Callithrix jacchus: one gene and its partners. The protein of the gene in region 2 interacts with the protein of the main gene of each other region in a pairwise test. Links are inferred from orthologs where the notes say so. Each region holds a gene or a part of one and is shown on either strand. Other genes may lie near its edges.

Region 1 (3,751 bases), on a different chromosome or scaffold from region 2:
TCTATAGAAGGGTGCGATTCACAGATGGAACAATGGCGAGCACACACCTGGACACGGGAGAGGAAGGGGTACTTATTCCTGATGGAGGTCACCACTGCTGCTGTGTCATTCCCCTGTTGTCTAGGGTTAGATCACACAGTCTAGTCTAATTCCAACTGGCTATTTTAAAAGGAGCAGGGGTACAAGCTGGAGTGGCAGGGTGGGTAGTTTGGTGGGAAGAACGGTTACAGGCAGATCAGACTAAGTAACCAGAGGTCAAAGCAGGTGACCAGAGTAGGTGACCGGAATGAGTCAGGACGAGCAGGGGACGGGGGGAACAGATGTGAACTAGTGATTAGAACTGGTGGAAATGTTTGTTTACTGAAACTACAAGGGAGTCAAACTTTAAAATGGAGAATTAAAGAATAAGAGAGCTGAACACACTGACACACTGATTATTTGAAGAGAAACTTGGGGTTCACTATATTTAACATTCTGAACCTTCTCGTAGGCCTATCTATGCATGCACCTCCTTGTAAAAATCCAGTTTTACCAAAACTGCTAAGTCAGTTTAGCCAGAACCCCCAATTCCTGATAACTGATCATCCTTGATATCTGATCAGGGTCCTCATCTTTCACCATCCCCCAGGTGATGTGTGATCACCCTGGCCCGTCTTCTACAAGATTCCTTTAGGTCGATTTAGCCAGAATCTCCCTTACACTTGTTTCCTCTTAGTAATTTTATATCCACTGACCATTCCACTGCTTCTTGATATGGGAATTTATGAGGAGTTGAGCTCAATCTCTCTGCTAACTCCAAGACTCAATTGCACTGGCCCTATATCCATCGCTATGGTCCTGAATAAAGTCTTCCTTACCAACAACCATCATTGAATAATGTTTTATTTAACAGTGGGCAGTCATGGCCCAGGTAAGAGGGACGTGATACCTGCTCCTGGAGGGGGAAGGCTCTTGGGCACTTTTTGTTTTTGTTTGGTTTTGTCTTTGTATGCAACATGAGAAAAAGCCATTGATGCAGGCTTTAGCATGTTATGAAGGAAGTGTAAAGAAGCCAGTGACGCTGGTAATAACTGTGAAACTGAACAAATGCCACCATATTTACCTAAACGTAAATTTTAAAACTGGGGATAGCAAATCCATTCTACAGCGAGGGCCGCTTAGCCAGTAAGAAGGATTTCATTTTCAGGTGCAGTCGAAGCCCTCTGGCTCCACCCCCAGCGTCCAGCCCTTACCACTGCTAAGAACTACAACTCCCAGCCGGAGGGAGGTCTCTGCGCATGCCGCCTGACGCCCTACGACCTACACTTCCCAGAGAACCTAGCGATTACGCTAACGTGCGCCTGCGCCCTTGTGCACCACTCGCTTCTCACTCTGGTTTGACCTACAGCCGCCCGGGAGAAGATGGCTGCCCCAGCAGTGTCCGGGGTCTCCCAGCAGGTGAGAGAAAGGTGGTCCCGAGAGCCAAGGGGAGGATCCCTCCGGGGGTGACCGGTACCAGACCCAGAGCGCGAGGGTGCGATGCTTAGGCTGGGGAAGTCTGGCAGTCTTCAAGGTTGCGGGGCCCGGCGACTCAGGGCGACCCAGTGTTTGTCCCCCAGATGCTTGCGGGGCTGCGCGTGTCACGACCTTGGCGTCCTTCGAGCACAGCCTTGGGAACTGCTCGCCTGAGAGGCGCCGCAGAGAGGGTCTGCGCTTCGCTGGATTCCTGGGAAGGGGCACGGCCTATCCCCTAAATCAGCTTTCTTTGCCATTGTGGTAAAACTTGTCAGAGATCGCTAGTAATGCCAAGGAACATTCGTAAAACACATTTCACAGTTTTGTAAAGAAAATAAGGCGGAAAAGTTTAAATGAGTCTTTGGCTGCTCAGCCAGTAAGTGGTGGAGTTGCGATTTGAACCCACGGAGTCACCCAGAAGATGAAGTTTGAAAAAATGTTATGCTCTTTGTACTGCATCTCCTCTTGGTGCTTTACGTATCATGACCCCTTCCTTGCATCTGAGGCAATTTTTACGTAAGCGTTAAAAAGTCTTTTCTTCCTCACAAGCAGTTTTGACAAAACACATTCCATAGCTAGAAGTATTTGAAGGTGACCTGTGATCTGTGACCTGTGCACTTGCAGGTGATTTTTAAACTGTGGATTCCATCTCTGTCTTCTGATGAGCGGGAGACCTTCTCTCAGATCTAGGGCCTCTTGCCGGTTAAAACTGCGGCAGTACTCAAAAAATTTATCTTTATTTTCAGATAGCATTTGGATTTCGAGGAAGGTACATCTGTTTGCAAATTATCTGCCTAAGGGTGTTGTAATAGAAACGCCAAAATTTTCGTTAAATATTTTAGAAACATGCACTCTTGGAAGTTAGTGTTTCTCTGTCATACAGGTGTGCTAGTCTCGGCCCATTCCTAGCAAAGTAGGATGTTAGTGGGAAGGTGATTTCCCAAGCAACTTGAGATAATCCTCACTGGGTAAGTTTACTCCTTAGTAATAAAAAGTAGCTAAATGTAATATGTGGTGATACAAAGAGACAAAACTAATGATTTTAAGGTCATTTAAAAAATTGTTTTGTTGTTACTGAGTTAAATGCAGAAACCCTCCAAGTAATCTTGTTTGATCTACTTTGCTTTATTGCTTTGAAGGTGCGATACTTCGGTACATCTGTGGTCAGACCATTTGCCAAGCTTGTGAGGGTATGTTAATTTCTGTTCTTCTGTAATTATAAAGCACGTGCAGGTGTGAGCCAAACAGCAGTACAGTCAGGGCGTGGATTTTGGGTAGTTACTATCTAAACCTTTTTGCACATCTCGGTTCCCAGAATGTGAGGTATGTGCAGGGTGGAGAAAGGAGTGATGTTGAGTACTTGCTTTGTGACAAGCCTATGTGTAATCTTTAAATATGAGAACTTGGTTTTTAATCATTTGTTTTTCCATTCTCCCTCTAAAATAGGCAAGCTAGCATTTACTTATTCTTTTAATGAAAGAAACAGGTTTAACAAAGTGGCATGCCCAAGTTATCACAGAAAATTATTGTTGGAGTTGATACTAAAATCGAGATACCAGACTGGGTGCGCTGGCTCACTCCTGTAATCCCAACACTTTGGGAGGCCAAGGCAGGCAAATCATGAGGTCAGGAGATCAAGACCAGCCTGACTGACAAGGTGAAACCCCGTCTCTACCAAAAATGCAAAAAATTAATTAGGCATGGTAGCAGGCACTTATAATCCCAGCTACTTGGGAGGCAGGATAATTGCTTGAACCCAGGAGGCAGAGGTTCAGTGAGCCAAAATCACACCACTGCACTCCAGCCCAGGCAACAGTGTGAGACTCCATCTAAAAAAAAAAAATCAAGGTACCTTGGTTTCTAATGTAATTCTGTTGCACATCTCCATGTTCCATTCTGGTAAGGACTGTTCATACCCTTTACACCCTTTCTCTCCACTAAGCACCAAGGAGGGTCACTATTTCTGAGAGTTGCCAGTCCCCTTCTTTTCAAACCGGTAGTCCAGTTGCCCCCAGATAAAGAAGACTATTAGTGACACATAATAAATGAAGTTCCCCAGGAGGCCTCCATAAATGACACATGGCTAACAGCTGGTAGCAGCTGGAACATGATGTCTGACTCCGTTTCTGTGGGTTATTTTGAAATTTCTTTATTTGATTAAAGACAGTTCCTGTGTGATAGAGAATTGATTCAACTGTCAGGGAGTAGGAACTTCTCAAAGATGTGCTGGGCCATCTAGCCTACTCACACTTTTCCC
Region 2 (3,651 bases):
TAAATATACTATTAATGAGTATTCAGTGGTCTATAGTAGGGTCCTAAAAATAGGACTTATTGATATGATCAGAACTACATAAAGTTGCTGACAAGGTTTGAACTTCTCCATATATAATATTTCCTGAGAACAGGATTATGCTGAAGAGTTCCTGACCTTTATAAGCCCTACAATCTATTTTTATTTTTTAAATACTTGGCATTTTCTCGTCCCAAAGGGTGTGAGATTATCTTAGGTTGTCAACTTGTTTAAAAGATGCTATTCCAGGCCGGGTGTGGTGGCTCAAGCCTGTAATCCCAGCACTTTGGGAGGCTGAGGCGGGTGGATCACGAGGTCAAGAGATCGAGACCATCCTGGTCAACATGGTGAAACCCCGTCTCTACTAAAAATACAAAAAATTAGCTGGGCATGGTGGCGCGTGCCTGTAATCCCAGCTACTCGGGATGCTGAGGCAGGAGAATTGCCTGAACCCAGGAGGCAGAGGTTGCGGTGAGCCGAGATCGCGCCATTGCACTCCAGCCTGGGCAACAAGAGCGAAACTCTGTCTCAAAAAAAAAAAAATTGATGCTATTCCAAGGCTGGGCACAGTAGCTCACACCTGTAATCTCAGCACTTTGGGAGGCCAAGGCAGGCAGATCGCTTGAGCCCAGGAGTTTGAGACTGGTCTGGGCAATATGGTGAAAACTTGTCTGTCTCTCTACCTGCACACGTGCACACACACACTCACACACTCACACACACACACACACACTAGCTGGGCATGGTGGTGTGTGCCTACAGTCACAAACACACACAGAGAAAAGATGCTATTCCAAATAGGGAAGGTAAATGAGTTTTGAAAGTCTTTAATTTCACCCCTCCATGAATTCTGGACAATACTTATTTTTTCTTTTATTGTTTAGAGACAGGCTGTCACTATGTTGCCCAGACTGGACTTAAACTCCTGGGCTCAAGTGATCCTCCCACATCAGCATCCCAAGTAGCTGGGACTACAGGTGTGTGCCACCACACCTGGCCATTCTGGATGATACTCTGTAAACTTTTGAAATGAGTACCTCTGGAGGTCTTCAGGTCCTAATACCTGCATAACCTGCTCATTCACATCTTCATTAATCAGCCTACAGAGTTTTCCAACAGTGCTTACCAACACACACAATGAAGATGAACTATCTGCAAAAGAGAAATAAAAGGATATTTCAACAGAAAATTTCCAAAATTACATACATCAAACATTTTATGCTTCAGTTATCCTCAATTTTTTTTACTTAAGAAAAATTTTATCTACTTTTTGTTAATTTATTAAAAACAATTCTTAAATGGGGGCCAAAAATGACAAATTAGGTCATCACCTAATTCTAAGAGTTCTTGGAGGTTTCTCACAGCATTGTTCATTTCTCCAAGCCTAGTATAAACTTCATTCATTCGAGGATAGACTCCATTTAAAGAAGGCACATCAAATAATTTTTGGAAGTGAGAGACAATAGCTTGCAAAGTTTGAAAGTTTGGCATATTGCTGTCCTGTCCAAAAGAGAGGTAAAAAAGAAAGAGTTCATATCTTAAAATAATCCCAAATAAAAACTTTTAAAAGAAAAACAGAACTCTTGTAGAACAAATATTAATATCCACATCAAATTATCAATTTTTAAGATAAGAGTACATTAGAATGTGACCATTTATGTAAGTATTATTACCTTTTCTTTATTTTCAACTTCTTCCAACATAGTATCTACTATAAATAACAAATCTTCAACTTTGATACCTTCATTTGCATCCTGCTTCTTCAGATTATGCCAAGGTACCAGTTCTGCAGATAGTGTTTTCAAGGACTTATACAAATCCTTTATAACAAAAGAAACTATATGGTATTATTGATTTAAATAATTTCTATAGTAATATAACACAATTAATAAAATTATAAGTTTTATGTATTTTATAAAATTAATAAAACATTATATAGGCAGGTTAAAATATATATATATATGTAACCATCATTGGTATTTTTTAATAACACTATTACCAATTTAGAACAAGTCAGTTAAAATTAGGTTTCTCCAGGTAAACATAGGCTTTACAGAAAACATTACATATTGATTATTCTGCATTTGGGTGCTCTAAGTAATTTTATATTATTTATTATTGTTTCATGTTATTTTGTTATTTTGAATTGTTGATACATAAAGAATAAACTTGCCCTTGTATTTTAGTTTTGAATAACAGATTTATTGAAATGTAGTTCAGATACCATAAAATTCACCCTCATTAAGTATACAATTCAGTTTTAATATTTTCACACATGTACAAACATCAGCACTATCTAATTTCAGAACATATCCATTACCCCAAAAAGAAATCTCAGACCCACTCACAGTCCTTCCTTCCTCATTTTTCCTTTCCCACAGCTCCAGGGGATAACCTCTAAACTATTTTCTGTGTCTATGGATTTGCCTATTCTGGCCATTTTGCATAAATGGAATTATACAATAAGCAGTCTTTTATGAATGGCTTCTCTCACTTAGCATAATGTTATAACATGTACCTCCAGGCAGGTTTTCAATGTGAAAGGTTCTCTAAATGTATTCTACTTTACAATACTCTGTTTTCTTGTCCTAGCTGTGATGCCCTAAGTGATTTTAAACTGTGCACAATGGGCAAGGCTACTGGAAGTTTAGCATTCTAGACTGGTCAGTCGACAAATACTTACTGAACCCTAATCCAAAAATCTGAAATGCTCTAAAATCTGAAACTCTGAGCAACATGACACTCAAAAGAAATGCTCATTAGAGCATTCTGAATTTTGGATTTTTGGATCAGGGATGCTCAAATGGCATATACTCCAAAATCTGAAAAAATTCTTAATCTAGCCCCAAGCACTGCAGATAAGGGATACTCAATTCATATATGTATGGAACAGTGCTTAGTCCTTTAGAACAATGCTATCCAAAAGAAATGTAATGTGAGCCACAGTAATTTTAAGTTGTCTAGGGCCATAGTATGAAAAGTGAAAAGAAACATGTGATATTAACTGTAATATTTTATTTAACCCAATATATCCAAAATATTATCATTTCAATATAAAATCAATATTTCAATTTTTCCCATATGAAGTCTTCTAAATCCAGTGTATATTTTATACTTCTAACGCATCTCAATTAGGACTAGCCACCTTTCAAGAGATCAATAACCACATACAGCTAGAGGCTACCATACAAGACAGCACAGCTCTAGAGAACAGAAAGAAGTACAAGAAATTCTTCCTTTTTCGAACTTATTTTAGTACTTCACTTGACACTCTCCACTTAAGGCTCACACTTCACATATTGGTATCTTTAACCTTTCGTTTGGTAGGAAGACAGTTACCTATTTTAGTAATTCACAGCAATACATTCTGTGTCAAATGAATGTTTTACAATCAGTGCCACTAGAATTTGGGAGGAAAAAAAAGTCAGTAAGCAACAGCATAATGACCCCTTTATTAATCAATGCTCCAGCTACAAGGCACATTTATAAAGTAATTTATGGAAAAAAGCACACCCAATCTAATACATTTTTGCTTCAGAATAAAAGAGTATTACAAAGCTAAGAAAAAGATGTTCTGGTCTCCTAAGCAGTGAGAGGATGGTTGTAGCAGTTCATCAAGTAAGCTTTGAAAAA
Region 3 (3,751 bases), on a different chromosome or scaffold from region 2:
TGGACTTGTAAGCATAGGGAAGACCTCACCTCGGAAATGTCCTCTAATAACGGAAGGAAATATCTAAAGGGTTGGGTCATGCATGTCACTAAGAGCAAGAACTTGGGAGAAAGTTCACAACCTTATTCTCTCATCTGGTCAATACAGCAACCCTGGGAGGTTGCTTGTCTTCATCTTACTGATAAATATTATGATCTTCAGAGAGATGTGTCACTTACATTTCTAAAAAGAGATCCCAGGGGTAAGCTCAAATTGAGATTCTGTCATAAATGTTTAATAAGTGTACACATTGCTTTTATAAGGTGGTCATATATAAGTAATAGAGTTCCATTTTGAAAAATAAGAAATGATGGATAAGCAAGAATAAAATTCCCTTTTAATTCTACCACAGAGATAAACATTATTTACTATATATGTGTGTGTATATATGTATATATACATGACTGTTTATGTTCATATTTAAGATTTAAAGTAAAAAAGAATGCAGAGAATGCTTTTTAAAACTGCTTTATTAACTTCACAATATATAATGAGCATCTTTCCATGCAGTAGGTAAAACTCGCCTGCTGACAGAAACTTACAAACTGGGTCAGAAACAACATTCAGTTAGAAGCTGGTATCAGGAGACCCACAAGAAATAAGTAACATCAAAAGGTTTGCAACAAAGGTACACCACAAATATGTAAGTTTAGGAAGCAGGGGTCTTCCTATAAACTTCAGGGAAATCATCAGGATTCAGGGCATAAGGCAAAACTCATCGTGATGGTCATGGTGAGGGGGGTCAGTGCTGACAGCCCGCAGACTATGACTCAACTGCTTTTCCCTCAACTTTTCCATCAGCTGTCTCACCTCCTCCCCAAGCCTTTCCATATTCTCCTCTCTCATCCTTGCCTGTGGTTCTCCAAGCCTATGCATCATGTCCCATCTATACTGCAGGATGGGCTGCCTAACGCGGAACCGCCTACGATTTCCTCTGGGCACATAGTATTCACCAGCATCCAAAGGGAGGGCCAAGGGCTCCCCTTTATTAGCAACTTGCTTCTTTTCATCTTTTTCTTCATTTTCCTCTTTGACATTTTCCACGTTGAGATTGTTTAACGCTAGTTCCTCTTTGGACTCCATTACTCCTAGGAGACAAGAGAGAAAAAAAGAGACTCAATTCTTGGTGAACCGATCAGCACCGAGGACAGAGACCCTACTATACACCTTTCAAAATTCAGAGCCCTGGACTTCAAAGGCCATTTTAAAATTTCATTTTTTTTTCCACCAGAGAGACCCAGTGTGCCCTCGCGGGGAGACAATCCTAGCCCCTCTCTCTTGCAAAGCCCACCATCTTCCCTGCAGATCCATCTCCAGGCCTCTGCAGGCACCAAAATGGAGGACGAGGATGGGGTGGGGGAGGGGAAGGATTGCGAAGTGTTGAGTGAAGGCATGGATTGGGGTCTCAGACTGGGCTTTCCTCACGTTCCGACCCCCGCCCCACCACCGTACCTCGCACCGACCTGGGCCTATCCTTGCGATCTCCTCCTCCCGATTCTCGACTCGAGGCGCGCCGCCGGACACTTAGTCCCTCAGACCTGCAGAAGAGCAGGGGGCAGGGAGTGGGGGCTGCTGGAGCGGAACGCTAGCGATGACAAGCTGTCACCCAGCCCCTTCCCCGTCCCGAGCCCGGGCCCTCCTCGCCGCCCTCGCCCCCCGCCTCAGCAGCCCCTCCCCCCAAGATGACCACCATTTTCTGCACCAAGAAGGGCGGGGCAGGGGTGTCGGAAAAGCTTGCGCAGGTGGCGGAGGCAGGTGTTTCCGAAGGGTCGTAGCCTCAGGACCGCCGGCTCTCGCGAGGCCGGGCACCTCTCGGCTCAAGGAAGGCGGTGGGGCCCGGGGTCTGCTTCATGGTGGACCGCCTGCGTCACCGCGCGGCTACCCGGGGGTGGGTCATCCTCAGGCCGGGGCCGCTCCCCAACACCAACCCCAGGGATCTCCTCCAGGTCCCTTACCTGCTTCCCCTCCGCTTCCTACTTTCGGGGTCGCCCCCGGCCCGCACGTTCTCAGGGCCACCTGGAGCAGGTACCGCTGCCGAGAAGGGAGCGAGCGACGGCGGCTCTGACACCAGAGCGAGACAGACTCACTTGGCAGGTCACGTGGGGCGGTTGTCATCGCCAGCGGCTCCGCCCCCGTCCCACGCCCCCTCCTGCAGCCCCGAGTCAGGCGGGGCTTTCGGGCCAGCCCCCATTCACACCGGGAGTCCCTTTGAACATCCCCGGCCTGAGCTTTGCCACTCTCCTTTCTTTGTGTGTTCTTCGGACTTCCTCTGCCTGCCCAGGGAGGAACATATCATCTCAGGGAGATGTTAGCCGTTCCCACTCTGGGGACTTGCCTCTCTCTGTCCTTGGCTCCCAGGATTCACCTCCTTCTGTCCTCTCTCCTACCAATACTCTGATTTCCCTCCACTAAAACTAGTGGAAGAGGTATATCAGAAAAGGAGCCCAAAAGAGTAGACTTTTCTCATTCTTAATACCTTTCTGTGTTCTTTCATATGAAACAAAAAATATATACGTCTTAAAAGAGGAAAAAATGTTATTTTTAATTGAAAAACGGGATTAAAGTTGGGGAAAACATCCTAACCACCTGTCCTGTTAAATCATTATACAAATATAGACACTACCGACAGCTGCTTTTTTAGAACTTGGAAAAGGACAGGGCAGCTGATGACTCCCCTTTTGAGGGGCCCCTGGACATATGAGGCCCTTCTATGAGATGAACTAGTGAGTTGTAGTGCTACAGAGCTTTGTTGGGTTTTCAGAACTAAAAGAAAAAAAAAGACCTTTTTCACAAATTTCTGGTTCAAATGATAATAAGTATGTCTTTATTTGCATGTCAATAATCATGAATTCAGGAAATCCGAAGAGATCTACAGTTAATCTACTATAGGAGTAAGAATTGATTTTAAGAAGGTTGCAGATACAAGATAAGTATTACAAACTTACTCATAAATTCATTTGGAAATGCAAAGGACCTAAAACAGACAAATACTTTTTAAAAAATATCCTAGGCCAGGCGTGGTGGCCCATGCCTGTAATCACAGCATTTTGGGAGGCCAAGACGGGTGGATCACGAGGTCAAGAGATAGAGACCATCCTGGCCAACATGGTGAAACCCCGTCTATATTAAAAATACAAAAATTAGCTGGGCCTGGTGGCCCGCACCTACTCGGGAGGCTGAGGCAGGAGAATCGCTTGAACCCCAGAGGCAGAGATTGTAGTGAGCCAAGACCACGCTGCCGCACCCCAGCATGATGACAGAGCGAGACTCAGACTCAAAAAAAAAAAAAAGGAAAAGAAAAACAAAAATCCTGCAAATCTTGAGAGTTACATTATATTATTTCAAGACTTAAATTATAATGATACAGTAGTTAATGTAGTAGTAAACACAGACCTGTGGATTAATAGAACCCGAATAGGGAGTCCAGAAATAGACTGATACCTACGTTGTTAATTAACTTTTGACAAAGATGTCGGGATAACTCAATATGGAAAGTATAGTGTTTTAACAAATGGTGCTGAAATAACAGAATTCTTTTTTTTTAAATTTATTATACTTTAAGTTTTGGGATACATGTGCAGTTCGTGCAGGTTTACTACATAGGTTTATGCGTGCCATGGTAGTGGTTTGCTCCATCCATCTCCCCATCATCTACATTAGGTGTTTCTCCTAATGCTATCCCTCCCTAATCCCCTCACCCCCTGCTATTCCT

Evidence for each region.
Region 1: the proteins of CEP70 (region 2) and ATP5PO interact in binary tests that used the Homo sapiens proteins (3 or more experiments, as listed by UniProt). The two-hybrid records come from large-scale screens. The link is inferred for Callithrix jacchus from reciprocal best matches to the Homo sapiens genes CEP70 and ATP5PO.
Region 3: the proteins of CEP70 (region 2) and BEX2 interact in binary tests that used the Homo sapiens proteins (3 or more experiments, as listed by UniProt). The two-hybrid records come from large-scale screens. The link is inferred for Callithrix jacchus from reciprocal best matches to the Homo sapiens genes CEP70 and BEX2.

Annotation. Positions count from the first base shown.
Region 1 is NC_133522.1:39,989,010-39,992,760, reverse strand, and holds the start of ATP5PO (ATP synthase peripheral stalk subunit OSCP, mitochondrial), read left to right. Parts: upstream 1-1,378; 5' UTR 1,379-1,401; coding exon 1,402-1,437; intron 1,438-2,633; coding exon 2,634-2,684; intron 2,685-3,751. UniProt on the Homo sapiens protein: Subunit OSCP, of the mitochondrial membrane ATP synthase complex (F(1)F(0) ATP synthase or Complex V) that produces ATP from ADP in the presence of a proton gradient across the membrane which is generated by electron transport complexes of the respiratory chain.
Region 2 is NC_133518.1:45,829,670-45,833,320, reverse strand, and holds part of CEP70 (centrosomal protein of 70 kDa), read right to left. Parts: intron 1,839-3,651; coding exon 1,692-1,838; intron 1,519-1,691; coding exon 1,350-1,518; intron 1,171-1,349; coding exon 1,056-1,170; intron 1-1,055.
Region 3 is NC_133524.1:99,382,657-99,386,407, forward strand, and holds BEX2 (protein BEX2), read right to left. Parts: upstream 2,125-3,751; 5' UTR 1,995-2,124; intron 1,578-1,994; 5' UTR 1,492-1,577; intron 1,128-1,491; 5' UTR 1,123-1,127; coding exon 736-1,122; 3' UTR 492-735; downstream 1-491. UniProt on the Homo sapiens protein: Regulator of mitochondrial apoptosis and G1 cell cycle in breast cancer.